Anolis sagrei: one gene and its partners. The protein of the gene in region 3 purifies or fractionates together with the protein of the main gene of each other region. This does not show direct contact. Links are inferred from orthologs where the notes say so. Each region holds a gene or a part of one and is shown on either strand. Other genes may lie near its edges.

Region 1 (7,926 bases), about 15 Mb from region 3:
CCTACAACTCCCAGAAATCCCAGCCAAAACATCAGGTTGAGAACCACTGACCTAGAGATTACCAGAAGAGCATTCTCCCAAGGAATCTCTAGATTTCTCAGAGGACTCCATGGTCACTTTTGAGAGGAAATTGCTCTTGAGTATGCCAGGGAGAACATTAGTCAATTCTATAGATAATAAAATCTGCAAAAGTCAAACTCACAAACATGGAGCACTGACCATATGTTATCTTACCTTGTAACAGCAATGTAGTTTCCTAGAGCTTTTTGCCAAGCAAATTGTATGGGGGAACTAGGTGAATCCTTTTCTGAAAGGGTAAACACTCGCTATGAAAAGAAAAACAAAATCAATTATAAGTTTGTAAACATACAATATTTGATCCTGGTTATAAATGCTATTTCCTAATTGGTTCTGTCATAAAACATGGGGAAAATGTGCTGCAACACATTTTGCTATAGTTTTTCAATATCTCAGAGTCACAACAATTCAACATATTTGTGGCAGCCACAAAAATGAAGTTTCTGGAGTATAACAACTACTTTCAAAGGAAGTACCGCACAATTAAACAGGAAATAACATTTTCAAACCAGGAACAGATTTCTTTGTAACATAGCATCCTGTGAACCCAGGGAAGAGAACCCACCCCACATTTTGGATAACCTCAAATCCAAAAGATCCGGACCTATTTTGCATCCTGAAGAGCTTCTTTTAAAGCCTAGTTTAAAACTTAGATTGGATTCACCACTCACTGCCATGGAAACCACTGAGCACAATCCAATACACACAAGTTTCTCCTTAGCAATTTCCCTGAGCATCACTTGTTGAATTTTTGTTTGCTCTAAAACAATCAGGGAGATTGACATCCCTGGGAAATAGAAATCTGAATCCCTAGTTGTGGTAATAAACAAAAATTCAACAAGTGATGTTTAGAGAAATAGCTAAGGGGAAAACTTTGTTCACTATTATTATTATTATTTATTGGTTAAATGTAAGTAATTTGTAACATTGTCACAACCGCATATACACAATATATTATTATTTTTACCACATATAACACATTCTGTTGATTACATTTTATCTTTTACAGTTCAATACATCTATCACTTATAGATAAAGGTAAAGGGTTCCCCTTTACGTTAAGTCCAGTTGAGTCTGTCTCTGAGGGGTGGTGCTCATCTCCATTTCTAAGCCAAAGAGCCGGCTTTGTCCATAGACACCTCCAAGGTCATGTGGCCAGCATGGAGTGCCATTACCTTCCCACCGGAGCGGTACCTATTGATCTATTCACATTTGCATCTTTTTGAACTGCTAGGTTGGGAGAAACAGGGGCTAACAACTCCACTCCCTGATTTGAACCGCCAACCTTTCAGTCAGCAAGTTCAGTAGCTCAGTAGCTATTATTTATACATATCCATTTTCTCCCTCCCCTTTCCTCCTACTCACCTCCCTATGGGGACAGATATAACTCTACTCATTGGTTTAAACCAGGGGTCCACAATCTTTTTAAACAGATGGCCAAGTCACAGTTCCTCAAACTGCTGGAGGGCCAGATTATAATTTGGAAAAAAAATGAATGAATTCCTATGCACACTACACATATTTTATTTGTAGTGCAAAAAACGCTTAAATGCAATACAATAATTAAAATGAAGAACAATTTTAACAAATATAAACTTATTAGTTTTTGTGTGTCAGGAGTGATTTGTATTACTGTTGTTATTGTTTATTGTTGTATTGTGGGCTTGGCCTCATGTAAGCCGCACCGAGTCCCTTGGGGAGATGGTAGCAGGGTACAAATAAAGTTTATTATTATTATTATTATTGAGAAACTGCAAGTCGCTTCTGGTGTGAGAGAATTGGCAGTCTGCAAGGACGTTGCCCAAGGGACGCCATGATGATTTGATGTTTTTATCATCCTTGTGGGAGGCTTCTCTCATGTCCCCGCTTTGGGAGCTGGAGCTGACAGAGGGAGCTCATTCGCCTCTCCCCGGATTCGAACCTGCGACCCTTCAGTCCTGCCGGCACAGGGGTTTAACCCACTGCTCCACTGGGGGCTCTATTATTAGTATTTCAATGGGAAGTGTGGGCCTGCTTTTGGCTGATGAGATAGCATTGTTGTTGTTGTTGTTGTGTGCTTTCAAGTTGTTTCAGACTTAGGTTGACCCTGAGCGAGGGCTGGGTAAATGACCATGGAGGGCTGTATCTGGCCCTTGGGCCTTAGTTTGAGGACCGCTGGTTTAAACTTTATATTATTTTTTCAATCATGATGATGTTTTGGTTCAGATCCTTATAGTTTCCCTTTCATTCTGACTACAATCCTTTTCCACTTTAACTGCCAGTTCTCCTTTGGATGGCCATTCAAATGGCTTCAAACTACAAGAGAGGAGATTCCATCTGAACATGAGGAAGAACTTCCTGACTGTGAGAGCCGTTCAGCAGTGGAACTCTCTGCCCCGGAGTGTGGTGGAGTCTCCTTCTCTGGAGGCTTTTAAGCAGAGGCTGGATGGCCATCTGTCTGGGGTGATTTGAATGCAATATTCCTGCTTCTTGGCAGGGGGTTGGACTGGATGGCCCATGAGGTCTCTTCCAACTCTATGATTCTATGATTCATATATATATGATATGCAGTCTTGGAACATATACTCTGATCAATATTTGAGCCATTTCTAAAATCCCCATTTCCCTTCATCTTTCCATCCTAAGGCAACTGTTGCTTGGGTCGCTGCTATCATATATTTTGCAATTACAATCTGGTCTGTATTCCTGAGAATCTCTAGATCAGACATGAGCAAACTTGGGCCCTCTCTTGAGGTGTTTTGGACTTCAACTCCCACAATTCCTATCAGCCTCAGGCCTCTTCCTTTCCCCACACAGCCGCTTAGCTGAGGGGGTTAGGAATGGTGGGAGTTGAAGTCCAAAACACCTGAAGAGAGGGCCCAAGTTTGCCCAGGCCTGCTGCACACTATACTGTGACTTGGCCTAGAAAAGCCCAACCGCCCTCCCACCCCTCCCAGCCCTGACCGACCTGCATCTTCTCGCCTTCACTCCGACGGTGTTTAAGGAGAGAGAGGGAAAAAAACAGAGCGACTGCGCCTGCGCAATCACCCGCCTCGGCTGGCCCCTCCCCTCTCCAAGCGTCGGCGTCACCCAGGAGATGGCGGCCCCCAGCAGAGGGCGTGTCTTGTTATACGTCACGGGTGCCTGAACGAGAGTACCTTTGGACTTCAACTCCCAGAAGGCTCGGCGGATCTGGTCTATAGCCAGGGCTTCTGGGAAATGGAACTAAAATTGATACCAGTGTGGATATTCCCATATCTAAAGTAAGCAGTGGTTTTTTAAAGCTGAACGATTCTACGGTCATCTTCCAAACTAGCTGAAGTTGGCTACAGTGTCATCCTGGAGGATCTAGAGCAGGCCTGGGCCAGCTTGGGCCCTCCAGGTGTTTGGGACTTCAACTCCCACAATTCCTAACAGCCTCAGGACCTTTCCTCCCCCCCCCCCCCTCAGGCTGTTAGGAATTGTGGGAGTTGAAGTCCCAAACACCTGGAGGGCCCAAGCTGGCCCAGGCCTGCTCTAGAGATTCCCAGAGGGAGTTGCAAAAGACGATGAACTAATAACGTATCTTCTATATAATCTATACAAATAAAAATGTAAAGTTCGTTTGTGGGATTAAAATAACTCAAAAACCACTGGATGAAATGCTGCCAAATTTAGCCACAAGACACTTATAATCATCATCATCATCTATATAAATAAAAATGCAATGTTCGTTTGTGGGATTAACATAACTCAAAAACCACTGGATGAATTGACACTAAATTTGGACACAAGGCACCTAACAACCGAATGTATGTCCTTCACTCAAAAAATTGATTTTGTCATTTGGGAGTTGTTGCTGGGATTTATAGTTCACCTACAATCAAAGAGAATTCTGAACCCCACCAATGATGGAATTGAACCAAGCTTGACACACAGTTCTCCCATGACCAACAGAAAATACTGGAAGGGTTTGGTGGACATTGACCTTTGGTTTTGGAGTTGTAGTTCACCTACATCCATAGATCACTGTGGGCTCAAACAATGATGGATCTGGACCAAATTTGGCACAAATACACAATATGCCAATATGTGAAAACTGGTGGAGTTTGGGGGAAATGGACCTTGGCATTTGGGAGTTGTAGTTGCTGGGATTTATAGTTCACCTACAATCACCCACCAACAATAGAATTGGGGCAAACCTCCCACACAGAACAGCCATGTGGACCACAGCAACGTGTGGCAGGGGACAGCTAGTAATAATAATAAAAACTTTATTTGTACCCCGCTACCATCTCCCCCCGGTGGCGCAGTGGGTTAAAGGACTGAGCTGCTGAGCTTGTTGATCGAAAGGTCACAGGTTCGATTCCGGGGAGCGGCGTGAGCTTCCGCTGTCATCCCTAGCTTCTGCCAACCTAGCAGTTCGAAAACATGCAAATGTGAGTAGATCAATAGGTACCGCTCCGGCGGGAAGGTAACGGCGCTCCATGCAGTCATGCCGGCCACATGACCTTGGAGGTGTCTACGGACAAGGCTGGCTCTTCGGCTTAGAAATAGAGATGAGCACCACACCCCAGAGTCAGACATGACTGGACTTAATGTCAGGGGACTACCTTTACCTTTACCTTTTACCATCTCCCCAGGGGACTCGGTGCGGCTTACATGAGGCCAAACGTACAGTACATCAATAAACAAAAGCAATAACAAAACAAACAAAGCAATACAATTAATAAAAATCACATAACAAAAAATAAACAATACATCAACAGTAACACACAAGCATTTAAAACCAATGGCCGGGCCAAATGCAATAGATTAAAATTAAGAATAATGCTGGACATGGACAAGGTAGGATAGAACTAGGGCAGAATTTTCAAGGAGAGATGAAGGAACGCAATCAATCCCAAATCAATGGTAAAGTGCATTTTGAGGGCATATTGCTGAGGGTTTTCCTTATTCTGGGAAGGCACACTGGAACAACCACGTTTTCAGGCTCCTCCTAAAGACTGCCAGAGTTGGGGCATGTCTGATGTCCTTGGGAAGTGAGTTCCAGAGTCAGGAGGTCACCACCAAGAAGGCCCTCTCCCTCGTCCCCACCAATCGCACCTGCGAAGGAGTTGGGGACGCAAGCAGGGCCTCTCCAGATGAACGAAGAGATCGTGTGGGTTCGTACACAGAAATGCGGTCACGCAGGTAGGCGTGACTGCATTTCCTTCGTACACAGAAATACGGTCACGCAGGTAGGCATGACCCGCCTACCTTCGTGACTGCATTTCCTTTTATAATCCTGCATGATCTCTTCGATCCTAGGGGGAGACACTCCTCTTGCTCCCACCTACATCTCAAGTGCGACTTGTGGGGATGAGGGAGGGAGCCTTTTCCGTTGTGGCCCCTCAGCTTTGGAACTCGCTACCTAGTGAGATTAGGCAAGCCCCCGCCCTGACAGCCTTTAAGAAAGTCCTAAAAATCTGGCTCTTCTGGCATGCCTTTGGCAAGTGAACACATCCCTATATCATGTCCGTACCAAATATAGTTCTGTCCTCATGATGCACTTTTTGTTGTCTTTAATGTAGGCTCAATCCCATTGTTCAGCCCTTCTGAGTTGCCCCACAGACTCATACTTCTCCATTTACTTATCTCACCCAGGGTTTTATCAATTTTATTCTGTGCATTTGGCCCGCCTACCTTGCTTTTATTTTCTTCTTCTTCATCATGTTAGTTTGCATCTGTTTATTTCATTTTCTGTTATTGGATGTATTTTATTTTGATGTTATTATTTGCTGTTTGTATTTTATTTTATTTTGTTGTCCTGTAATTCAGGGCTTGGCCTCATGTTAGCTACCTCGAGTCCCCTTTGGGGAGATGGTGGCAGGGTATAAATAAAGATGATGATGATGATGAGTATTATTATTATTATTATTATTATTACTACCCTGGACTGTGCTCTGACTTACAAGAAACACTGCTTGTATATCAAGCAAGAAGTGGGTGCCAGAAACAATATCGTACAACAGCTGACTGGCACAACCTGGGGATCACAACCAGATACAGTGAAGACATTTGCCCTTGCGCTTTGCTATGCTGCTATTGAGTACGCATGCCCAGTGTGGAACATGTCTCACCACACTAAAACAGTTGATGTGGCTCTTAATAAGACATACTGCATTATCACAGGATGTCTATGCCCTACACTACTGGAGAAATTATACTGTTTAGCCAGTATTGCACCACTTGACATCCACTGGGAAGTAGCAGCCAATAATGAAAGGAATGAGGCAGTGACATCTCCAGCCCATCCTCTGTTCGGATATCAGCCAGCACGCCAATGCCTTAAATCAAGAAATAGCTCTCTTAAGATCTATAGAGATACTTGCAGGAACACCTCAGCAAGTGAGAGTCCAAAAGTGGCAGGGTAAAGCCCAGAACCTCAAGCAATGGCTGATACTGAATGAGAGACTCACCCCTGGGCACACAGAAGACTGGGTGACTTGGAAGGCACAGAATAGGCTGCACTCTGGCACCACAAGATGCAGAGGCAATCTTAAGAAATGAAGTCCACGACATGCATGTGTCGAGAGAAGAGAAGAGCAAACCACAGACCACCTAGTACAATGCAGCCTGAGCCCTGCCACATGCGCAATGGAGGACCTTCTTATAGCGACACCAGAAGCACTCCCAAGTGGCCAGCTACTGGTCAAAGGACATTTAGTATAATGCCAAGTTTTTTAAAAATACATTACAACTGTACCCTCGGTTCGCTTCTGAAACAACAAATAAACTTGGCACTGAAAACATGTCAATGTTGAAGCTAATTTTGTCTCCAGGGAGAGGCATCACGTAGCCCATGCACTCTGCTTCATGTCTCCACACAGTGTACTGCAGATCTTAGTATGTGGGCCGATGTACATAGGCAGAATCACTCCTTAAAATATCTAAAGAAAAAGATTTCAAATCTAGAACAGCGACCTTCCTCCCCTTTCCACCTCTCCACACTTTAAAACTGCCTGAGTTAATGTAAATGATTGGTGATAATTACATATCACTGTTCTGACACCCTTGAGGAGAGCTGGAATTTATTTTAGCTGGCATGTGCTCTGCCTGTAGGTGCCCATCAGAATTTTCTAAATTTTTAATATGCATTTTTAAAATCAATGGGAGACTATAAATTGGCACTCCTTGCATTATATAAACATTTATCTGAGTTGCAGGTTCATTTTAGTTATCCTGGACTTTCCCATAACAGATGCTGTTAATTTAAATCCTCCATAATACCAGTATGATGCTATCAACATTTGCTGTTATTGACTTAGAAAATTTATATATGGTTCTCCTGAGATGCTTCATAGATATTTTACAAAAATATATCATCAGCTTTAGCGATGCTCTACTGATTATATTATAAAGACTATTTTTAAAAAATGAATGGTCAGATGTTTTGTTTTCTTTCCATTTAAAGGCTTATTTCAAGGCATTCTTACTTAAGCCATTGTTTAAGCCAGTGTTTCTCAAACTGTGCTCCTCCAGGTGTTTTGGACTTCAGCTCCCAGAAATCCCAGCCAAATTACCAGCTGTAAGGAATTGTGGGAGCTGAAGTCCAAAACATCTGGAGGAACAGTTTGAGCCATTCTGGTGTAACCTATTGCTTGCTCATCTTAGGATAGGTACAGGAATCACACGGGCTTTCAGGTGTTTTTGGATTGCGACTCCCAATAATTTTAGTCAGCATAGAAAATGGTAAGGAATGCTAGAAATTTGGACCCACCAACTTCTGTAGAATCACAAGATTGCCATTAATCTTAAGAGAAATGAGTGGGTGTACTTAGTATGTGGAAAGATAGGTACAGTATGTAATGGTTTGAACATTGGATGACGAGTCAAGGAAACTAAGAA
Region 2 (7,138 bases), on a different chromosome or scaffold from region 3:
TTTACATGTTGATCACCTTTATATACATATTGTGTGATGTATGAAGTTGACAAACATGTACATCTAAAAGCTATTAACAGGTTAAATTAAATTCAAAATTAATTATTGAATAGGTTCCTGTCAAATCAGAAGTAATTCATGCAGAACTGCACATAATGACTATCAAAGCTGAATCTCGTTTTTTCTATACCACCCTCTCTCCCAAAAGGGACTCAGGGTGGTTTACACACAGAAACAGGCAAACATTCAGTGCCTTACAAAGTACAAACAACATCAGGAATAATACAAAATAATGCACCATAATAACAATAAACTTATGAAAAACTAAACATTGAAATGGGAACTTGATAGCAATAAGCCAATTTAGACAAGAAACGAAGACATGAGTGAACATTAAACATATATCACTAAAAGCAGAAATGAATTGCATTTCAAATCATGAACACAGGTGTTTATTAAAAATGTATTATAGCCACCATATAGTGCAAATGGGCTCGCCAGCGTTAGAGCATCTTAGTCCTCCTCCTCTCCATATGTTAAAGTGCATACATGCATTTATGACATTACATATTTTCAAGCAGCTTCCAAAACTATTTTTTATGAAAGCTAAATTTGTCATGGAGGAAGAAATTTAAACTTTCTTTCCTCCACAGAACTGAAACAGGAAGACTCCGTTTTGCACATTGTGGTTGGTGACAGAAGTGCTATGCCCCCCCCCCCACTTCCCGTTCTTCTATGGGACTATATACAACCAGATCATATTTCAAATGTTCCCACCCTAAGTATCTCGGTGACACCTTAGCTTGAACACTAATATTTAGGAAACACTGTATGAACACCAAACATAAAGTAGGTACACACAATAATATTCTGTGGAAACTTACTGGCAGCACATGAGGTGCAGACCCAAAACTAATAAGAACATCAGCCCTAGCCTTGCCTTACTCAACTGCTGAGTGTGCCTGCTCTGTCTAGTACTAGTCTGTCCATGCAAAGCATGTGAATATGGCACTAAATGAAGCATATAGGATTATCACAGGATGTCTCAAACCCACACCTGATTGACTGTATAAGCTAGCTGGCATTGCGACGGGAAGTTGCTGCCAATTGCGAGATAAATAAAGTTGAACACTGGGAAAGCCACCCACTGAATGGCTACCAGCCTCCTCCCAGTAGAGTCCAATCAAGGAAAAGCTTCATGAGAACCACCACTCCTCTTAATGTTCTCCCAACAACAGCAAGGATATCCCTCTGGGCAGCTAGACCAGGAAATCCCAACCGGATGGCCCCACATGAGGGTCTGCCTGCAGGGGGCAAACCAAGAATGGGCAATGTGGAAGTCCCTGAATAGATTCAAAAGTGGAGTTGGTGGATCAAAAGACAACCTGGCAAGATGGCCCTACCTAGAAGAATCGTCTACGTTGTGCAACTGTGGAGCAGAACAAACAACTAAGCATCTGTATAGGTAAAAGTAGTCCCCTGACATTAAGTCCAGTCATGTCTGACTCTGGGGTGTGGTGCTCATCTCCATTTCTAAGCCGAAGAGCCAGCGCTGTCCGTAGACAACGTAGACACCTCCAAGATCATGTGGCCGGCATGACTGCATGGAGCGCCGTTACCTTCCCGCCGGAGCAGTACCTATTGATCTACTCACATTTGCATGTTTTCGAACTGCTAGGTTGGCAGAAGCTAGGGCTGACAGCGGAAGCTCACGCCGCTCCCCGGAATCAAACCTGCGACCTTTCGATCAACAAGCTCAGCAGCTCAGTGCATTAACCCACTGTGCCACCGGGGGCTCCTGTATGCTTGCCCACAATGCCCTGCCTCATGCACAGAGGAAAAACTGCTTAAAGCTACAGACAATGCAGTCACTGTTGCCTGTTTCTGGTCTAAAAATATTTCGCCGCTTGTGCTCCTTCTATATTATCAGTTTTATATTTATTTATGAAATGCTTTTGACACAAAATAAATAAACATTTGAAATGCTTACCTGCTCTAGAAAAATACCCACACTGCCCCCAGAATTTGAATTAACAGATGCAATGGCCAAAAACGGATGAATGTGGTGCCACGCAATGTGGAAGTGCGGTCCATGGGACTCAAGAGCTTCTATTTGATGATTAACGTACACAGCCATTTCGAAAGGCAAACGCTACACATCTAGAATACAAAAAAAGCATTTCGCAATCAAGAAACTGTAACAATTAAGACTCCGAGCATCAGAGGAAACAGGAAAGTTGACCACACATTAAAATATGAATTGTAGGGGGTCAATAACTCTCCCTCACTAAGTGTTTTAAGTAAGTTTTGTCAGGAAATGAAATAAAAACATTTTGTTTCTTGGTGATACAAGAAATTAATATAACATTCCTACCAGCTGTTAGGAATTGTGGGCCTTGAAGTCCAAAACACCAGGAGAGAGGGCCCAAGTGGCCCAGGCCTGAGCTATCAGCTTTTAAACTTGGAAGGGTGTGTACATTTCTTTGGACACCTTTCATTTTACCTGAAGCTTGTAAATGGTCCTGTTTGAGAAAGTCCTGCCCGAAGCCCCATTCAGTTTGGAGAAGGAAAGGATAGGTTCTGTCCATCTTCGGCCCTGTCAACCATAAACAAGAGTTTCCTTGAAGGTGAATGAGAAGAACTGGAGTCTCTCGTCCTGGGGAAAAGAGAAACCCTCGCAGCCCAGCAACCCCTCACGTCTCCGGCCTGCCTCTCACTCGAGGCCCCGGTCCCTAGGCCTGGAGGAAAACGAAAGCCAACGAGGCCTCCTCTCCGTCCCTCGCCCGCTTGCCTGAGAGGAAAGAAAGCGCGCTCCTCGACGCCAAGAAGACGCCGAGCGTTACCGTTGGCGACGGCAAGCGCTTCCCCGGAGCGGAAACAGCCGAAGCCGCAGTCGGAAATGCACGATGTTTCCCGAACACTTTGACGGAAATTCCCGAACGGCTAACCCGTTCTCAGACCAACCCTATGTAGCTTCTCTTGACTCGTCTCTACCGCTCCGAGGAAAAGACACATATCCAATCAGCCAATGAGATTGTAAGCAGAGGCCCCAAGCCCTGCCTATTTGAAGACCTTCACCAACCAGGATCGAGCCCTGAGCACTGTAAGCCCCGCCTCCGCTGCTTCCTACTGGTCACTTTCGCCTCCGCGGCTTCCAAGCGGCCCCGCCCTCTTTGGAAACACACACATAAGCACTCCACTTGCCACTCAAGGAAGGACTGGTTTTATTTAGTTTCAAATAAACCTTAAGTGTTGGATATATTTTAATCTGTAACGTGTTCTATTATAGTCTTGCTACTTTATTATGTTCCAACTGTTGTTTTTGTTTAATACTAATATATATGTATAATTATACTAAATGCCCTTTGAGCGCTAGCTGGCCACTTGGAGTACCAAGTTTTTAAACTTTGTGTGTGTGTTTTAATACGTTACAACTGTACCTTCAGTTCTCTTCTGATAAAATAAATAAAATTATATATAATATTAATGTTGTGATATAATATATGCTGAGAACTGTATTTTGTGATCTTAATTGTTTATGGTTATTGTTTTTATACGGTTTATACTATGTGTAATTGTTTTTGACTGTATTTTATCTTGTGGGGCATTGATTGCCAAATGTAAAGTGCCTCGAGTCGTCTCCGGGCTGAGAGGGGCGGTATACAAGCATAGTAAATAAATTAATAAATATATATTATATATTTGTTGTTGTTCATTCGTTCAGTCGTTTCCGACTCATCGTAACTTCATGGACCAGTCCACGCCAGAGCTCCCTGTTGGTTGTCACCACCCCCAAAATATTATATATACTACAACTTATAGTACAATATATTATATAATACTAATAGTATAATATACTGGTAGGGTATCAAATATATTGTGGTATACTAATATAGTAATTATATAGTATATTATAATATAATTATATTATATGTAATATTACTAATATTTCAGTATACTGGTGTAGTACTATATACACCAACTCGAGTGAGAGCGGTGTAGTAATATAGTAATATATAATACTAATATTGTGCTATACTAATAATATATTGCATATACCTATAATATTGATAATAATATTATAATATAATACAATATAATACTAATACTACATAAAAAAGGTAAAGGTTTTCCCCTGACATTAAGTCCAGTCGTGTCCGACTCTGTGGGTTGGTGCTCATCTCAATTTCTAAGCCAGCATTGTCCATAGATACCTCCAAGGTCATGTGGCCGGCATGACTGCATGGAACGCCGTTACCTTCCTGCCAGAGTGGTACCTATTGATCTGCTCTCATTTGCATGCTTTCAAACTGCTAGGTTGGCAGAAGCTGGGGCTAACAGCAGGAGCTCACACCGTTCCCTTGATTTGAACCTGCGACCTTTCAATCAGCAAGTTCAGCAGCTCAGCAGTTTAACCCACTGCGCCACTGGGGGCTCCATTTATAATAATACAATATAAAAATATATAATAAAGTAATAGTAATATATTAAAAATAATTACTACTGATAATATATAATTATACTGTTTTATTATTGTATATTTCTGTATTTTGGGTTGTACTGTTTTTGATTGTGAGCCGCTTTGAGTCTGTAATACGTGTTGTCAAAGGCTTTCATAGCCAGAATCACTGGATTGCTGTAAGTTTTTTGGTTCGTATGGCAATGTTCCAGAAGCAATCGGGTGTCAAACAGGGATGTGTTATTGCCCCAACTTTATTCTCCATCTTCATTGCTATGATACTCCATCTTGTTGACAGGAAGCTTCCCACCGGAGTGGAAATCATCTATCGGACAGATGGCAAGCTGTTTAACCTCAGCAGACTGAAAGCCAAAACCAAGGTTACAACAACATCTCTTATATAGAACTCCAATAGGCTGATGACAATGTTGTTTGTGCGCATTCAGAAGAAGATCTACAAGCCAGAAGCATACGAGAAGCTCGGCCTGTCATTGAACAACGAGAAAACCAAAGTGCTTGTCCAGCAGTCACCAGCCAATCCCTTTCCAATGCCAGAAATACAGCTTAATGGTGTAACATTATAAAATGTTGACCATTTCCACTCCCTTGGCAGCTACCTCTCCACCAAAGTCAACATTGATACTGAAATTCAACACCGCCTGAGCTCTGTGAGTGCAGCATTTTTCCGAATGAAGCAGAGAGTGTTAGAGGACTGGGACATCCGTAGGAATACCAAGGTGCTTGTTTATAAAGCTATTGTCCTCCCAACCCTGCTAAACGCTTGTGAGACGTGGACTGTCTACAGATGTCACGTGCAACTCCTGGAACGATTCCATCAGAGCTGCCCCTGGAAAATCCTGCAAATCTCTTGGGAAGACAAGTGGACAAATATCAGTATGCCGGAAGAAGCAAAGACCACCAGCATTGAAGCGATGGTCCTCCGCCGTGAACTCTGCTGGACTGGCCACGTTGTCCAGATGCCTGACCACCATCTCCCAAACTCTGAACTCAAGAACGGAAAACGGAATGTTGGTGGACAGGAAAGGAGATTTAAAGATGGGCTTAAAGCCAACCTTAAAAACTCTGGCATAGACACTGAGAACTGGGAAGCCCTGGCCCTTGAGCGCTCCAGCTGGAGGTCAGCTGTGACCAGCAGTGCTGTAGAATCTGAAGAGGCACAAATGGAGGGCGAAAGAGAGAAACGTGCCAGGAGGAAGGTGCGTCAAGCCAACCCTGACCGGGACCGCCTTCCACCTGGAAACCGATGCCCTCACTGCGGGAAAAGATGCAGAGCAAGAATAGGGCTCCAGAGTCACCTACGGACCCACTGCCAGTACACAGATCCTGGAAGACTATCCTACTCGGACAACGAGGGATCGCCTAAGTAAGTACAACCTCTGAGGATAGCTGCCATAGATGCAGGCGAAACGTCAGGAGAGAATGCTTCCCTGTAATAACCTGAAGACCTTCACCAACCAGGCTCGAGCTGCCCCGCCCCCACCGCTTTCTATTGGTCACTTTCGCCTCCGCGGCTTCCAGCGGCACCGCCCCTTTGGTTCCGGCCGGCCAATAAGGCACTCTGTTTGGGTTGCCTGGGGGCGGGGCTTGCTGGTGCGGCCTTCTCTTTTGCATTCCCGGCAGGACGGAAGCGGAAGTCAGGTTTCTCTGCCCTCCGCCTACGGGAAGAGGCGGGAGCTGCAGTGCCAGAAGCTTGTGTGAGGGTTCAGCAGCCCGGAACGCCTTCGGAGGCTCCGGGGGACGGGTCACGACGGCGACGGCGACGGCGACGGGGAGGCCTCCGCGGGGCCCTCATGACTCAGGTAAGGAAGGAAAGAAAGGAGGAGGAGGAGGAGAATTCTATTATTATTACCGAAAAGAAAAAAAGGAACGAAGGAAGCATTGCCAGCTGAGGCTGGGTCCACACTGCAGTGCCGTTACTACAGGTTAAGTCTCTTGAAACGGATTATTTGGCAGTGTAGACTCACATAACGTGTGGGCCCAGCCTGAGTGTGCAAGGTAGGCCTTTGAGGTGGAACCCACCCCAGGCTTTTCCTAATCAAAGGTGGAGAGAATGTCTTAGAGGAAGGAAAAGGTGTAATGTTGTTATCCTATGGTTATTAAAGCATAGGAGATTTCAGGATGGATACGAGGGGTGCGGCCTTCCCTAGGTTGCACTCCAACTCCCAGCATTCCCTGTCATTGTTTAGATGGCAAAGGCTGCTGGGGCTTGTAGTCCAGTCATGTGTGTCAGGCTGCACCCTTCCTTGCCTGGGAAGTTTACCTAGTTGCTTCTTTGTTACATTCCAGGAAGGATAAGAGTGGTGTGGCCTTTCCTAGATTGGACTCCAACTCCCGGCATTCCTTATCATTGGCAGCGAAGGGTCACACGGCCTGGGAAGTTTATCTGGTTGCTTCTTTATGCTGAACCTCTAAGTCAGGCCTGGGCCAACTTGGACCCTCCAGGTGTTTTGGACTCCATTCCCACAATTCTTAACAGCCTGTTAGGAATTGTGGGAGTTGGAGTTCAAAACAACCAGAGGGGCCAAGTTGGCCCAGGCCTGCTCTGAGTAACAATCGCCGTCTTCAGTTGGGCTGTCCTATCAGAGGATAATATCAGCTGACAATGTTTGACTTCTCTGGATGTTTTCTTCTAAAACACTTCAACTTGAAGTCCAAAAC
Region 3 (7,780 bases):
GGGGGGAGTGATGGAGCGTGGGGTTGCGTGTGTGTGTGCGGCAGCGGGGGGGAGTGGGGTTGCGCGTGTGTGTGTGTCGGTGGGGGGAGTGATGGAGCGTGGGGTTGCGTGTGTGTGTGCGGCAGCGGGGGGGAGTGGGGTTGCGTGTGTGTCTGTGGCGGTGGGGGGAGTGATGGAGCGTGGGGTTGCGTGTGTGTGTGCGGCGGGGGGAGTGATAGAGCGTGGGGTTGTGTGTGTGCGTGCGGCAGGGGGTGTGTGTGCGGGAAGCGGCGCGGCGGGGCTTGGAGTGGGCATGGCTTCCTCAGAGGGAACTGTGTGCGCGCGCCAGGGAACTTGCGGCTGGGCACCAATGCGCATGCTCAGTTGTTTTGCCGTTTTGTGAGTGTGTTGTTGTGTTGTTTTTCATTTTGAGTAGATATGTTTGTACCTTATGGGTTGTGTTATGGGCATGGGAATTTTGGTTAAGTTTCGTTGGGGGGTTTGTGAGTGTTGTTGATTTGCCGTTTTGTGAGTGTGTTGTTGTGTTGTTTTTCATTTTGAGTAGATATGTTTGTACCTTGTGGGTTGTGTTATGGGCATGACAATTTTGATTAAGTTTTGTTGGGTTTTTTGAGTTTTGTTGTTTTGCCGTTTTATGAGTGTGTTGTTGTGTTGTTTTTCATTTTGAGTAGATATGTTTGTACCTTGTGGGTTGTGTTATGGGCATGGGAATTTTGGTTAAGTTTCATTGGGTTTTTTTTAGTTTTGTTGTTTTGCCGTTTTGTGAGTGTGTTGTTGTGTTGTTTTTCATTTTGAGTAGATATGTTTGTACCTTGTGGGTTGTGTTATGGGCATGGCAATTTTGGTTAAGTTTCGTTGGGGTTTTTTGAGTTTTGTTGTTTTGCCGTTTTGTGAGTGTGTTGTTGTGTTGTTTTTCATTTTGAGTAGATATGTTTGTACCTTGTGGGTTGTGTTATGGGCATGGCAATTTTGGTACAGTTTCGTTGGGGGGTTGTGGAGTTTTGCTGTCCGGTTGAACCAACCTAACAGATTTATATATATAGATAGTCCCTTCTGTTGTGTTTTTCAGGGTTTTTATGAGTGATGGTCATTCGTTGGCCTGATAGGTGTCTTGTGTCCAAATTTGGTGTCAATTCGCCCAGTGGTTTTTGAGTTATGTTAATCCCACAAACGAACATTACATTTTTATTTATATAGATTATTAGCATAGCACAAAATTATCATTATATATTACTATATTGTCCTATATTGGTATACTGTAATATTACATGTAATATATAATATAGAATTAATATTATTATATTGTATTATCATTATTATTATATTATTATTATCAATATTATATGTATATACAATATATATTACTAGCTGTACCCGACACGTGTTGCTGTGGCCAATCTTCCCTCCCTCTTTCTCTCCTTCTTTCTTTCTCTCCTTCCTTCCTTCCCTCTTTCCTTCCTTTCCTCTTTTTCTTTCCCTTCTTCTTTGTTCCTTCTGTTTCTTTTCTCGCTTCCTTAGCTCTTTGGTTCCACCCTTCCTTGTCTCCTTCCTTCCCTCTTTCACTTTTTTATTTCATTCTCTCCCTCCTTCTCTCCTTCCTTCCTTCCTTCCTTCTCTCCTTCCCTTTCTCTCCCTCCTTCTCTCTTTCCTTCCTTCTCTATTCTTCTTTTTTCCTTCCTTCTCTCCCCTCCTTCTCTCCCTCTTTCTCTCCCTCCTTCCTCTCTGCCTTTCTTTCTTTCCTTCCCTCCTTCGTCTCTCCCTCCTTCCTTTCTTCTCTACCCTTCTTTACTTCCTTCTCTCCCTCCTTCTTTCTTTCCTTCCTGCCTTCTTTCTGTGTGTATGCATATATGTGTGTATATATGTGTGTTTGTGTATATATATGTGGTTTTGCGTATGCATTGTAATGTATTTTTTGGCTTTTTAAAGTCCCTTCTGCTGTGTTTTTCAGTGTTTTTATGAGTGATGGTCACTTGTTGGCCTGAGAGGTGTCTTGTGTCCAAATCTGGTGTCAGTTTCCCCAGTGGCTTTTGAGTTATGTTAATCCCACAAACGAACATTACATTTTTATTTATATAGATTAGCATAGCACAATATTAGTGTTATATAGGAGCCCCCGGTGGTGCATTGGGTTAAACCCCTGTGCCGGCAGGACTGAAGACGGACAGGTCGCAGGTTCGAATCCAGGGAGAGGCGGATGAGCTCCCTCTATCAGCTCCAGCTCCTCATACGGGGACATGAGAGAAGCCTCCCACAAGGATGATAAAACATCAAATCATCCTTGCAGGCGGCCAATTCTCTCACACCAGAAGCGACTTGCGGTTTCTCAAGTCGCTCCTGACAGAACAAAAAAAAAGTGTTCTATAGTACTATATTGTTGCTAGGGGGAAGGAGATGGAAGAATCAGAGCTGGAAGTCACCACATCTAGCCCACCCCACGCCATGCAGGAAAAGAACAATCAAAGCAGCCCCGACAGATGGCCATCCAGCTTCTGCTTCAAAACTTCCAGAGATCTGGGTGCCCTCCTCCCTGCTCTTCGCCTTTAGGCGCCTCCCTTCCACTGATAAAAATAGGCTTGACTGATGAAAAGGACCAAGGAGATGGGGGAAGGAGCAGCCGCCATGGCGCCCCCTTCCCTTCTTTCCGGGTGAGAGGAAGCAGCGCCTCTATGATACACTGCAAAAGCCTTCTCTCCGGCCGCAGAGCTCGAGACAGGGAGGCCTCCGCGCGCTTGCTGATTGGCGGGGATCCCTGCAAGCTCGCGGGCCGGGCGTCGCCCTCCTGGGCTTCCCTCCAGCCTCTGCTGCGGCCCCAGCACCCCCCTCGCCCAAAAGGGGGCGCCCCGCCAAGAGGACCCTCGGGCCCTGGCCTCACCTGGCTCCCATGGTAGCCAAAGTCACTCCGCTCCGGCTGGCCATCCTGCCATTGCTATGGCAACCAGGGGAGGGGGCGGCCCCCTCGCCGGGTTGGGACCGCCCCCCTCCTCCGCCTTCCCGCCCCTGGAGCCTCCGCGAGGCACTGGGCGGCGCGTGCGCACAACGCCTGCTCCTCATTGGGCGCAGCCAGAGCGGGGTGAGGGAGAAAACAAAGCCACGCATCAACTTGCAAAGAGCGTGACGTCGGCCTTCTCCTCAGACCTGGGCCCAGGGCTCTTCAACATCTTTCTCTACCAGGGTTGATTGAAAAGTAATGCCTCCACCTTCGTTACTTGGGTTTGGATGGGAATATTTTAATAAATCAAACGCAGAAATAATCCTTACAATGTGCTCTTAAACTACCACTATTCACTTTGCCACATAATCACCAGACAATTGGATACGTTTCTGCCAACGATGAACAAGTTTTCTGAAGCCTTCACAGAACAAGTCGACACTGTTTCCGCAACCAGCGTCAGCATCCTGGGTACCCATCGTGCACAGATCTTCCGAAATGCCAATTATGCTTGAAATTCCAACTGACCACCTTTATTAGCCATCAAATGCTAATCAAGTTGGTCAGTTGAAACATTCACACCTAGTTCCAGCAGACAAGAGTTCTTTGTCCCACCCTGGTCATTCCACAGATATATAAACCCATTTTCCTAGTTCCAACAGACCTCACTACCTCTGAGGATGCTTGTCATAGATGCAGGTGAAACGTCAGGAGAGAATGCCTCTAGAACATGGCCATATATCCCGAAAAAACCAACAACCCAACAAAAATAGTGTTGCAAAAATTCTGAGAGTGCCTTGGACTGCAAAAAGATCCAACCAGTCCATCCTCCAGGAAATAAAGTCCAACTGCTCACTGGAGGGAAGGATATTAGAGGCAAATATTAAGTACTTTGGCCACATCATGAGAAGAAAGGAAAGCTTAGAGAAGAAAATGATGCTGGGGGAAATGGAGGGAAAAAGGAAGAGGGGCCGAGTAAGCGTTTACAGATGAAAAATCTCAGGGAGGTATTCACTCGAGTCAGATTTGATCAGCTCGAGACAATGGTTAGATTGTCAAATGGACAATGTATTGGGAATCTCACATCAGAACAACATATTTTATGTGTGGTCAAGACCCAAAAATAACATACAAAACAGCTCTGTACTTAAGCAAAACAATACGTCTGAGAACCACATATTTAGGGCTGATTGGGGTAAGTTGTAGGGGTGATAATGAAATATGATGTATATACTCAGCTTGATCAGTTTATCAGTTTTATCATGTCTTATCATATTTATTTACTGTATCGTTATAAGTGTCTTATTTTAACTTACTACGTGGAGTGTGATCGGGTCTTATCAGACCTTGTTGTTCTGTTTCTTATTGTGATATGGCCTAAGGGTTAATCAATAAAATTACTACTACTACAGATGAAAAATGGAAAGACTGGACGACGTGACTGGACACTGTTTGAACAAGGAGACTCTAATTATATATGTTTTTAATTGATATTGATTGTTTTTACTTCTTTTATATTTATATTAATGTTTTAATTGTACTTTTTGGTATTGGTACTGACTGTAAACCGCCCTGAGTTGCCTGTGGGCTGAGAGGGGTGGTATATAAATCTAGTAAATAAATAAATAAATATATTATTATACTGTACTATACTACTGGGGGCCCCTAGTGGCACAGCGTGTGTGTGTATGTGTGTGTTTGTATGTATGTATGTATATCTATCTTGTAAGCCGCTCTGATTTCCCTTCGTGGTGAGAAGGGCGTCATATAAATGTTGTAAATAAATAATATTATATTACTAGTGGTACCTGCCACGCATTGCTGTGGCCAACCTTCCCTTTTTCCCTCCTTCCTTCACTCCCTCTTTCCTTCTTTCCTGTCTTTCCTTCTCTTCTTCCTTCCTTCTCTATCTATTTCCTTCCTTCCCCCTTTTTCTTTCTCTTCTGCTCTTTTCTTCCTCCTCTCTTTCCTTCCCTCCCTCTTTCTCTACATCTTCCCCCCTTCCTTCGCTCCCTCTTTCCTTCCTTCTTTCTTTCCTTCTCTCCTTCCTTTCTTCTCTAACTTTCCTTCCTTTCCCCTTTTTCTTTTCCTCCCTTTCTTCCTTCTCTACCTCTTTCCTTCCTTTTCTCTTTGCTTATATGCTTCCTTCTCCCTTTCCTTCTTCCCTCCCTTTCTTTCTTTCTTTCTTTTCTCCCCTTCCCTCCTCTTTCTTCCTTTTTTTCTGTATTGTCATTTAGCTTTTCGTCATTTAGCTTTTTAAGTCCCTTCTGCTGTTTTTTTATGAGTGAAGGACATACATTGGGTTGTTAGGTGTATCATGTCCAAATTTGGTGTCAATTCCCCCAGTGATTTTTGAATTCTGTTAACCCCACAAACGAACATTACTTTTTATTTATATAGACTAGCCGTCCCCTGCCACACGTTGCTGTGGCCCACATGGGGGTTCTGTGTGGGAGGTTTGGCCCAATTCTATCGTTGGTGGGGTTCAGAATACTCTGTGATTGTAGGTGAACTATAAATCCCAGCAACTACACCTCCCAAATGTCAAGATTCTATTTTCTCCAAACTCCACCCGTGTTCACATTTGGGCATACTGAGTATCCGTGTAGAGTTTGGTCCAGATCCATTATTGTTTGAGTCCACAATGCTCTCTGGATGTAGGTGAACTAGAACTCCCAAACTCAAGGACAATGCCCACCAAACCCTTCCAGTATTTTTTGTTGGTCATAGGAATTCTGTGTGCCAAGTTTGGTTCCATTCCATCGTTGGTGGAGTTCAGAATGCTCTTTGATTGTAGGTGAACTATAAATCCCAGCAACTACAACTCGCAAATGACAAAATCAAAAAAATTTGAGTGAAGGACATACATTAGGTTGTTAGGTGTCTTGCATCCAAATTTGGTGTCAATTCCCCCAGTGCTTTTTGAGTTCAGTTAATCCCACAAACGAACATTATATTTTGATTTATATAGATCATATTATATTGTATTATATCATAAGTATAAATATTATATTATTATAAAATATTGTATTATTAAGTATAAATATTATTTTACAACATTATTAATATCTCTGTTTTGGTGATTCCGTTTATTTCTGGAACTGCAGGACAGTTAACTGTCAACATAAATCCTAAACGCCCCAGATGGCGTCTGATCCTGCAAAGTCAGCAGGGCCAGCTCTTGAATGGGACGCCGCTGACAAATGCCAGCTGTTGCAGGCAGCATTTCAGAGGAAGAAACTGGCAAAACCACATTGGAGGATGAAAACCCTTTGGGACTTCAACTCCCAGAATCCCTTATCCTGGGTCAGAGCAGCTGAGGCTTCTGGGAGTTGGAGTCCCTTCCAAACCGTGGAGAGCCAGAGCTGGGGAATGACTGTGGCAGGTGAGGGCACCCATATACAAACTCAAAACACCTATCCTGACGCATGTGTACACATACACAGCAAGTCTGCCTCCGAAAGAGATGCGCCTGGGCCGCTGCTCCTACCGTTCGCTCTCCTTCCTCACAGGCTCCGCCCCCTGCGCTCTAATTGGCCCGGCGCCGTCACGTGGCGTCGAACGTCCTTGTTGGGCGCCAAATTCAAACAACCCAAGAGGCGGAAGACGGCGGTACCGACCGCCTGAGGGACTGGCGGCTGGCTCGCCACGTTCTCCCTTCAAGGCGGGGGAGAACGGGGCTTGCAGCCAGTCCCCGCCGCTCCAGCCCCAAGAACAGGTGAGAGAGGCGAGGATGGGGTCAAGAGGCCGGGGAAGGGACCAGTCCTTTAGGTTTGGTGGGAGAGAGCTTAGTGTGGAGGGAGGGCGGGATACACAGATTACACTATGCAACACTAATTTTGTTGGGTTGTTGTAGGTTTTTTCAGGCTATATGGCCATGTTCTAGAGGCATTCTCTCCTGACGTTTCGCCTGCATCTATGGCAAGCATCTTCAGAGGTAGTGAGGTCTGTTGGAATTAGGGAAAAGGATTTATATCTGTGGAATGACCAGGGTGGGACAAAGGACTCTTGTTTCCTGGAGCTAGGTGTGAATGTTTCAACTGACCACCTTGATTAGCATTTGATTGCCTGGCAGTGCCTGGGGCAATCTTTTGTTGAGAGGTGATTACATGTCCCATATTGTTTCCTCTCTGTTGTTTTGCTGTTGTAATTGTAGAGTTTTTTCAATACTGGTAGCCAGACTATTTGGAATAATCATAACCTTTTGGAAAGGCATGACCTTGATAGAGATCGTAACCATTTTGTAAAGTATGATCTTCCCAAGAAGAGTTACAAACTCACCTGAGTCAATCTTCTCCTTAGTGCAGTGGTTCTCAACCTGTGGGTCCTCAGATGTTTCAGCCTTCAATTCCCAGAAATCCTAACAGTTGGGTAAACTGGCTGGGATTTCTGGCAGGCCAAAACACCTGGGGACCCACAGGTTGAGAACCACTACCTTAGTGGTAAATTACTAGTATTTATACAAGGCAGTTTAGGCTTCTCAGCTGTTAGACTGATATACTTGGCTATCTCTTTGAACCGCTAGGAACAAAGAAATGCCAATGCATAAAATATGTAGCAGATCTTCAGAAGTGTTATTTCTGTTGCACAAAAATATATAATCTACTCTCCCATAAAATATATTGTTTTAAAATCATGTTCTTAAGAGACCAAAAAAATAAGTAGTCTTCGTTAAAAGTTAACATCGTTGATATACTTACAAGCTTTGTGTATTTAGCAAGAAGGTACATTGCTTATTGAAACAGATGTCAACTGAATTAAACTTAAAACTGTACTACACTGTACTATACTTCAACTCACTGTACTATACATCTGCTGCAAACAGACTCATATATTAACTGACATCTCACT
Region 4 (7,285 bases), on a different chromosome or scaffold from region 3:
ACAAAAAGCACCCAATTTTTAGAGATTTTTATATGGGGGAAAGTGTGTCTTAGAATTGACAAAATACAGTATTTTAAATAAATTAGATAGCTGACTTGTCAAGAATGCCCTGTGATAGGACTTTCCTTAGGGCCACCATGGGCCCTTCCACACAGCCCTATATTCCAGAATATCAAGGCAGAAAATCCCACATTATCTGAGTGTAGACTCAGATAACTCAGTTCAAAGCAGATATGGTGGGATTTTCTGCCTTGATATTCTTGGATATATGGCTGTGTGGAAGGCCCTGTCAAGCAGCACAAAACAAAACCAGAGCAATACTGAGGGCCATTCCACTCAGTAGTTTCTTGAGTCGCTCCTGACATGAAAAAAAACCTGCTTTATTATAGAGCTGTGGTGACACAATGGGTTAAACCCTTGTGCTTGCTGAGTTGCTGACCTGAAGGTTGCCAGTTAAAATCCACAAGACGGGGTGAGCTCCTGTCTTGTCAGCTCTAGCTTGCGGGGACATGAGAGAAGCCTCCCAGCAGAATGGTAACACATCTGGGCATCCCCTGGGCAACATCTCTGTACATGGCCAATTCTCTCATATCAGAAGCGACTTGCAGTATGTTCTCAAGTTGCTTCTGACATGATTTAAAAAATTTGCTTTGTTAACTGAGGTGTATTTACATACTATGTATATTCTTTGTAACACTTTCTTTTCTCTGCTCTGAACCGAAATGCCACATGGGCTACATCAGTAGATTCCCAAGACTTATACTTAACATTACCTGACAAAATATATGTCATATTTTCCTGCCGTTTTTCCAGTCTGTCTTTGCTTGATTATCCTTTCCCATCCTTCTGGAACACCTTTATGGCACAGATGAGTTGATAAAGATTCAGCTGGTTCATCTTCTTTGCACTGGATAATCTCAGTCTCTTCTTTCTTGGTTTCAACGTCCTCTTGTGCTGTAGCTTCTCCCTTCTCTTTGTTTATATCTTCCATCACATGTTCATCACTTATATCGCTGCAGATGAATGCAATACTATCAAAATTTGCCCTGTCTTTAAAGCTTTTCCTAGTACAAAAGCTGCTCTACCTTGTTGATCACTGAAATGTTCCTTTTTTTACACCTGGCACAACTGCATCATAACTTCTTTTTGCCTCATAATTTAAAAACAAACAAACAAAATAAACCCTATTCCATATAAATGTTTTTCACTCAATCTGATATAAGAGGAAAACGTCTCACTGATACTGAAGCTGACCGGCACTAAAATCAGATTAAATCAGACAAAGTCTCCCATTTATGATATCAAAATCTATATGGTCACCTTGTCACAGGACACTTCCAGACACATGGCTCTCAACAACATCCATCAAAATATATTTTCAGTCATTCTCTCTTTTTCCTCTTTCTGACATTTTTATGTGGTAAGATCACCTGGAATGCTTACAGATGGAAGCAACCATCTGGATGTTCCTTGTAAAATTCCACAACCGAGGCAGGGCTACTGTACAATAAAAACTTCTGCTATCAAAGCACTCAAAGTGATGAGCTGAGCAGACCTTTGGCCTAATCAGTCCTTGAAGACAGTTAGTATTCTCTTAATGCAAACGGATCCAGCACTTCCACTTCCACAACCATAAATCTCCAGGAGCCATATACTCCAGAAATATATGCTCTCGTAACATGTGCAGCCCATTTCTGTGGATTTTCCCTTGAATTATTGGTTTGGGTTCGGGTTACCTAAAGGATCACCTTCTCCCATACAATCACCTCTCCCACACCTTGGTCCTCTGAGGGGCGACTGGTAACCACAACCCAGAGGACCATTTCATCGGCTGCCCCAAAGCTCTGAATGATCCTCCACATGCTTGTGGATTTCAATGGCTTCTCAGTGTAGTCTGACATGGTGGTTGTTAGAGTGGTCCAGCATTTCTGTGTTCTCAAATAATATGCTGGACCACTCTAACAACCACCATGTCAGACTACACAGAGAAGCCATTGAAATCCACAATCATGTGGACAATTTCAACAGAAAGGAGGAAACCATGAAAATGAACAAAATCTGGCTACCAGTATTAAAAAGCTGGGTTGCAGCTAAACATAAAAAAACCAAGATCATGGCAACAATAATGATTGACAACTGGAAAATAGAGGGAGAAAATGTGGAGGCCGTGACAGACTTTGTATTTCTAGGCGCAAAGATTACTGCAGATGCAGACTGTGGCCAGGAAATCAGAAGGCGCTTACTTCTTGGGAGGAGAGCAATGTCCAATCTCGATAAAATAGTAAAGAGTAGAGACATCAGACTGGCAACAAAGATCCACCTAGTCAAAGCCATGGTATTCCCTGTAGTAACCTACGGATGTGAGAACTGGACCTTAGGGAAGGCTGAGCGAAGGAAGATTGATGCTTTTGAGCTGTGGTGTTGGAGGAAAGTTCTGAGAGTGCCTTGGACTGCGAGAAGATCCAACCAGTCCATCCTCCAGGAAATAAAGCCCGACTTCTCACTGGAGGGAAGGATACTAGAGACCAAGTTGAAGTTCTTTGGCCACATCATGAGGAGACAGCAAAGCCTAGAGAAGACAATTATGCTGGGGAAAGTGGAAGGCAAAAGGAAGAGGGGCCGACCAAGGGCAAGATGGATGGATGGCATCCTTGAAGTGACTGGACTGACTTTGAAGGAGCTGGGGGCGGCGACGGCCGACAGGGAGCTCTGGCATGGGCTGGTCCATGAGGTCACGAAGAGTTGGAGATGACTGAACAAATGAACAACAACAACAACATTAAAAAACTCTAAAATTATAACAGCAAAACAACAGAGAGGAAACAATCTTGGACATCTAATCACCTCTCAACAAAAGATTGCCCCAGGCACTAGCAAGCCACACCAAACAACAGCCAGGCCATCAAATGCTAATCAAGGTGATCAGTTGAAACATTCACACCTAGCTCCAACAGACAAGAGTCCTTTGTCCCACCCTGGTCATTCCACATATATATAAACCCTTTTTCCTAGTTCCAACAGACCTCACTACCTCTGAGGATGCTTGCCATAGATGCAGGCGAAACGTCAGGAGAGAATGCCTCTAGAACATTTATGTATTTATTTACTTTGCTTGTATACCGCAGTTTCTCAGCCCGAAGGCGACTCAACGCGGTTCACAACATGAGCAAAAAGACAATCATAACAATATACAATTTAAAAACCAGTAAGGGCATAATATACAAAGTAATAACACATCAATAACAACACATTAACATCTCGTAACTAGAATCGTGATCCAAATTCGTCGTCTATGATTCCGTTCCTATGTTCACCATATTCATTGTAATGTTTATCCGAATGCCTGTTCAAACAGCCAGGTTTTTAGTTTTCTTCGAAACACCATTAGCGTAGGAGCTGATCTGATGTCCATGGGAAGGGCGTTCCACAGCCGAGGGGCCATCACAGAGAAGGCCCTGTCCCTCGTCCCCAACATGGCCATATAGCCCGAAAAAAACCTACAACAGCCTATGAATTTTAATGCATGTCCTTTTTTAAATCTCTATTTTGGGAGTTGTAGGCCAAAACACCTGGGCACCCACAGGTTGAGAACCACTGTCTTAAGTGATGTGCTAATGGAACACAAGCATTTATTCTCTGGCATCATGATGTCACATTTGCACTGAATTCCTGTTCTACTTGTGAACAGGGCTGAGAATTGCGGTATATAAGCACAGTAAATAAATAAATAATAAATAAATAAATAAAATAAGAAGGACCAGACCAAACTATTCATTCTCGGAAGTGGGCAGGTTGCAGGCCATTCAGGATGGAATCCATCCATGCAGTAGTTCTCAAACTTTGTTTTTTGGACTCCAACTCCCAGAATTCCTCGCCGTTGGACAAGCTAGCTGAGGGCTGCTGGGAGTTGAAGTCCCCAATCCTGGAGGATGGAAAACTTGGGGGCCACTGAAAGAAGGAGTCTATCATCTCTTTGTTGATGAAATCCATACCTGTCTGCAACTACCTGCATTGTTTCTCCGACAGGAATTTTGCCTCACCTCTCTATTAAGGCGGGAACTCATCTGCTCAATACGCATGCGCATTTTCACCCCCCTGAGACCAGATACGGGAGTAGTAGCCTATTAAGAAAGCGGGGCAGAGAGTCACCTGAGATCTCGCGAGAAGCAAGAGTGCGCTGAGGCAGATTTTGTTTGCGCATGCGTACTTGTGTTGTTTCTTCACTCGTATATCCAGCGGTGCTTAAGTGGAAATTTAGAGAAGAGGGATGGGAGGAAGGAGATGCGCATGCGCAAGTCCTCGTGCATCTCTGCCCAAAGAAGGGCGGTTTAACGTGGGCAAGAGTGCGCATGCGTGTTGCCTGGGGAGTCCGAATAAATAAAAGCGACAGCGTCCGTTGGTGGCTGTTGTGGAAAGGATGCGAGCTGCGTTGACCTGGAGGGATAAGGCCGAGCAGTGGTAAGAGCAACCGGGCTGGGAGAAGCTGGAGGTGCATCTACACTGTGGGATTAAGGCACTTTGACTCCACTTCTTTCAACTGCTATGGCTCAAGGCTGTGGAGTCCTGGGAGATGTAGTTTGTTGAGGCACCAGCACTCTCTGTCAGGGAAACCTAAGCACTTTGTAACATTACCCCCATGATCCATGGTATCTCAACTGCATTATTTTCTCAATGTAGACGTACCCTGAGAAGAGACAAGCTATCACTGCAAACTGAATGACAGCACCATGGCTCACTATGGAGTTAAGGGAATTGTAGTTTTACAAAGTCTTGAGCCTTCTCTGCCAATGAGTGCTGGTGCCTCACCAAACTACATAAGGAGCCCCCGGTGGCGCAGTGGGTTAAACCCCTGTGCCAGCAGGACTGAAGACCGACAGGTTCGAATCCGGGTAGAGTGCGGATGAGCTCCCTCTATCAGCTCCAGCTCCTCATGCAGTGACATGAGAGAAGCCTCCCACAAGGATGGTAAAAACATCTGGGCGTCCCCTGGGCAATGTCCTTGCAGGCAGCCAATTCTCTCACACCAGAAGCGACTTGAACTTTCTCAAGTTGCTTTGACACGGCAAACAAAACCAAACTACATATCCCAGGTAGAGCGCGGATGAGCTCCCTCTATCAGCTCCAGCTCCTCATGCAGTGACATGAGGGAAGCCTCCCATAAGGATGGTAAAAACATCTGGGCGTCCCCTGGCAATGTCCTTGCAGGCGGCCAATTCTCTCACACCAGAAGCGACTTGCAGTTTTTCAAGTTGTTTTGACACGGCAAACAAAACCAAACTACATATTCCAGGATTCCATAGCATTGAGCCATGGCAGCTAAAGGGGTGTCAAACTGTGGCAATTCAACAGTGTAGATCAGGCATGGGCAAACCTCGGCCCTCCAGGGGTTTTGGACTTCAGCTCCCACAATTCCTAGCTGCAACTCCCATAATTTCTAACAGCTGTATGTAGGCCATTGGCTGGCAAAAGTATGATAGCTGGGACCCAGTGCCGGTAGTGCTACGCTGGTTGCGTAATGTGGCTCAGAATTAGAGAAGGGAACATGTGCGCGAGAGACCACACGCAGTGAGAGACACAGCTATGACAGACTTGACAAGGTAGTTCGGTAGAAAGGAGGAGGGGACACAGGCAAGCATACTGATGTAGGCTATCCAGAGATCCTAGGCAAACATGTTCAAAAATGTTGCATTGGAAGGAAGGATAGAAAGGAAGGAAGAGAGAAACATGAGCAGTGATAAAAAATGAATCAAATCTTGTCACTCTTACATTACTTCACTGTTATCCTGTGCTACCTGCGTTACATTACTTCACTGGTATCCTGCCGCAGCTGCATCTCTCAGTCGATGCTCTGTCTCGCGCACATGTTCCTATCTCTAATTCAGAGCTGCGTTGTGCAACCAGCGTAGCACTACCAGCACTGGGGCCCAGCTATCATACTTTTGCCCATAGGGCGTTAGAAATTGTGGGAGTTGAAGTTAGGAATTGTGGGAACTGAAGTCCCAAACCTCTGGAGGGCCCAAGTTTTCTCATGCCTGGTGTTGATGCACCCTGCTCTTCCCAAGCAGCTCAGGCAAACAGTCTGCTGCAGCCTTTCCTAGGGTGCATCTACACTATAGAATTAATGCAATTTGGCACCACTTGAACTGAACCGCCATAGTGCACCAAGGAATCATGGGAGGTGATGTTTTCTAAGGCCATGAGCCTTCCCTGCCCAAGAGTGCTACCACATTACAACACCCGGGATCCCATAGCATTGAGCCAGGATGGTTCAAGTGGGGTCAAGCTGCATTAATTCTACAGTGTAGATGCACCCTTAGCTTGTCTTTTCCTCGTGGAGAATGTTTGAGCTACTCTTTTCCTGCTCTTTTGAACCACTTTTGCTGCTTGGTCAAATGGTTCTGTCTGCAAAATGTTGGCGAGTACACAGTAATTGTGGTGCAGTGTTTTAAGTATTGGATAATAATAATCATAATCATAATAATAATACTTTATTTGTAACCCTCCGTATCTCCCCAAAGGGACTCAGGGCAATTTTCAATGAGTAACAAAAAATGGAAAAAATAAAATAAAAGCCAAAAGCAGCCAAATGACAAATCACATCAAAAACAATGGATAAAACAATCTCAATATGAACTTATACAACTAACTGAAAAATAACTGAAAATTACACTTAAATAAACATAACACATCACACACATTTACCACATAACAAACCCATACAAATTAAACTAAAAGTGTGAAAAGCATAAGATGGTTTGGAATATGTCTCAGGATGTCAAGGTCTCAATTCCCCCTCGACCATGGAAACCCAGTGGTCACCCTGGGGAATCACACTCTCAGCCTCAGAGGGAGGCAAAGACAAACCCATGGTGAACAAATCTTACCAAGGCCCCTTCCACACAGCTGAATAAAATCCCACATTTTATCTGCTTTGAACTGGAATATATGGCAGTGTGGACTCCGATAATCCAGTTCAAAGCAGATATTGTGAGATTTTTCTGTCTTGATATTCTGGGTTATATGGCTGTGTGGAAGGCCCCAAGAGAACTCTGTGATCAAGCCACCATTAGTCAGATTTGTCTTGAATGCATACAGTGACAACAATGAGTCTATGCTGAAGAGGCATATACAACACTACCATAAAACCACATTACGGTATATTATACTAAAACACATTTATGATAAAATGCTAACATACTGTTTCTAATAACAAGAAAACATTTAACAGCACTCAGAATCCAGTAGCAGCAAGGATAAAACATGTTCATGCGTTGAAACTGTCAGC

The links.
Region 1: the proteins of TULP3 (region 3) and WDR19 purify together in Homo sapiens (affinity purification with mass spectrometry; 5 studies listed by BioGRID and IntAct, counting the BioPlex papers as one, with this or other methods). This does not show direct contact. The link is inferred for Anolis sagrei from reciprocal best matches to the Homo sapiens genes TULP3 and WDR19.
Region 2: the proteins of TULP3 (region 3) and IFT140 purify together in Homo sapiens (affinity purification with mass spectrometry; 5 studies listed by BioGRID and IntAct, counting the BioPlex papers as one, with this or other methods). This does not show direct contact. The link is inferred for Anolis sagrei from reciprocal best matches to the Homo sapiens genes TULP3 and IFT140.
Region 4: the proteins of TULP3 (region 3) and IFT122 purify together in Homo sapiens (co-immunoprecipitation; 6 studies listed by BioGRID and IntAct, counting the BioPlex papers as one, with this or other methods). This does not show direct contact. The link is inferred for Anolis sagrei from reciprocal best matches to the Homo sapiens genes TULP3 and IFT122.

What each region holds. Positions count from the first base shown.
Region 1 is NC_090025.1:119,211,774-119,219,699, reverse strand, and holds the start of WDR19 (WD repeat-containing protein 19), read right to left. Parts: upstream 3,115-7,926; 5' UTR 3,032-3,114; coding exon 3,026-3,031; intron 327-3,025; coding exon 235-326; intron 1-234. UniProt on the Homo sapiens protein: As component of the IFT complex A (IFT-A), a complex required for retrograde ciliary transport and entry into cilia of G protein-coupled receptors (GPCRs), it is involved in cilia function and/or assembly.
Region 2 is NC_090034.1:23,609,300-23,616,437, forward strand, and holds the start of IFT140 (intraflagellar transport protein 140 homolog), read right to left. Parts: upstream 3,010-7,138; 5' UTR 2,792-3,009; exon of another isoform or gene 2,597-2,791; 5' UTR 2,504-2,596; intron 2,161-2,503; 5' UTR 2,138-2,160; coding exon 1,991-2,137; intron 1-1,990. UniProt on the Homo sapiens protein: Component of the IFT complex A (IFT-A), a complex required for retrograde ciliary transport and entry into cilia of G protein-coupled receptors (GPCRs).
Region 3 is NC_090025.1:104,602,622-104,610,401, forward strand, and holds the start of TULP3 (tubby-related protein 3), read right to left. Parts: upstream 3,026-7,780; 5' UTR 2,917-3,025; coding exon 2,873-2,916; intron 1-2,872. UniProt on the Homo sapiens protein: Negative regulator of the Shh signaling transduction pathway: recruited to primary cilia via association with the IFT complex A (IFT-A) and is required for recruitment of G protein-coupled receptor GPR161 to cilia, a promoter of PKA-dependent basal repression machinery in Shh signaling.
Region 4 is NC_090022.1:49,981,132-49,988,416, forward strand, and holds the start of IFT122 (intraflagellar transport protein 122 homolog), read left to right. Parts: upstream 1-4,215; 5' UTR 4,216-4,417; coding exon 4,418-4,458; intron 4,459-7,285. Other genes in the region: MBD4 (methyl-CpG-binding domain protein 4), read right to left, coding at 774-1,013, 3,993-4,012. UniProt on the Homo sapiens protein: As a component of the IFT complex A (IFT-A), a complex required for retrograde ciliary transport and entry into cilia of G protein-coupled receptors (GPCRs), it is required in ciliogenesis and ciliary protein trafficking.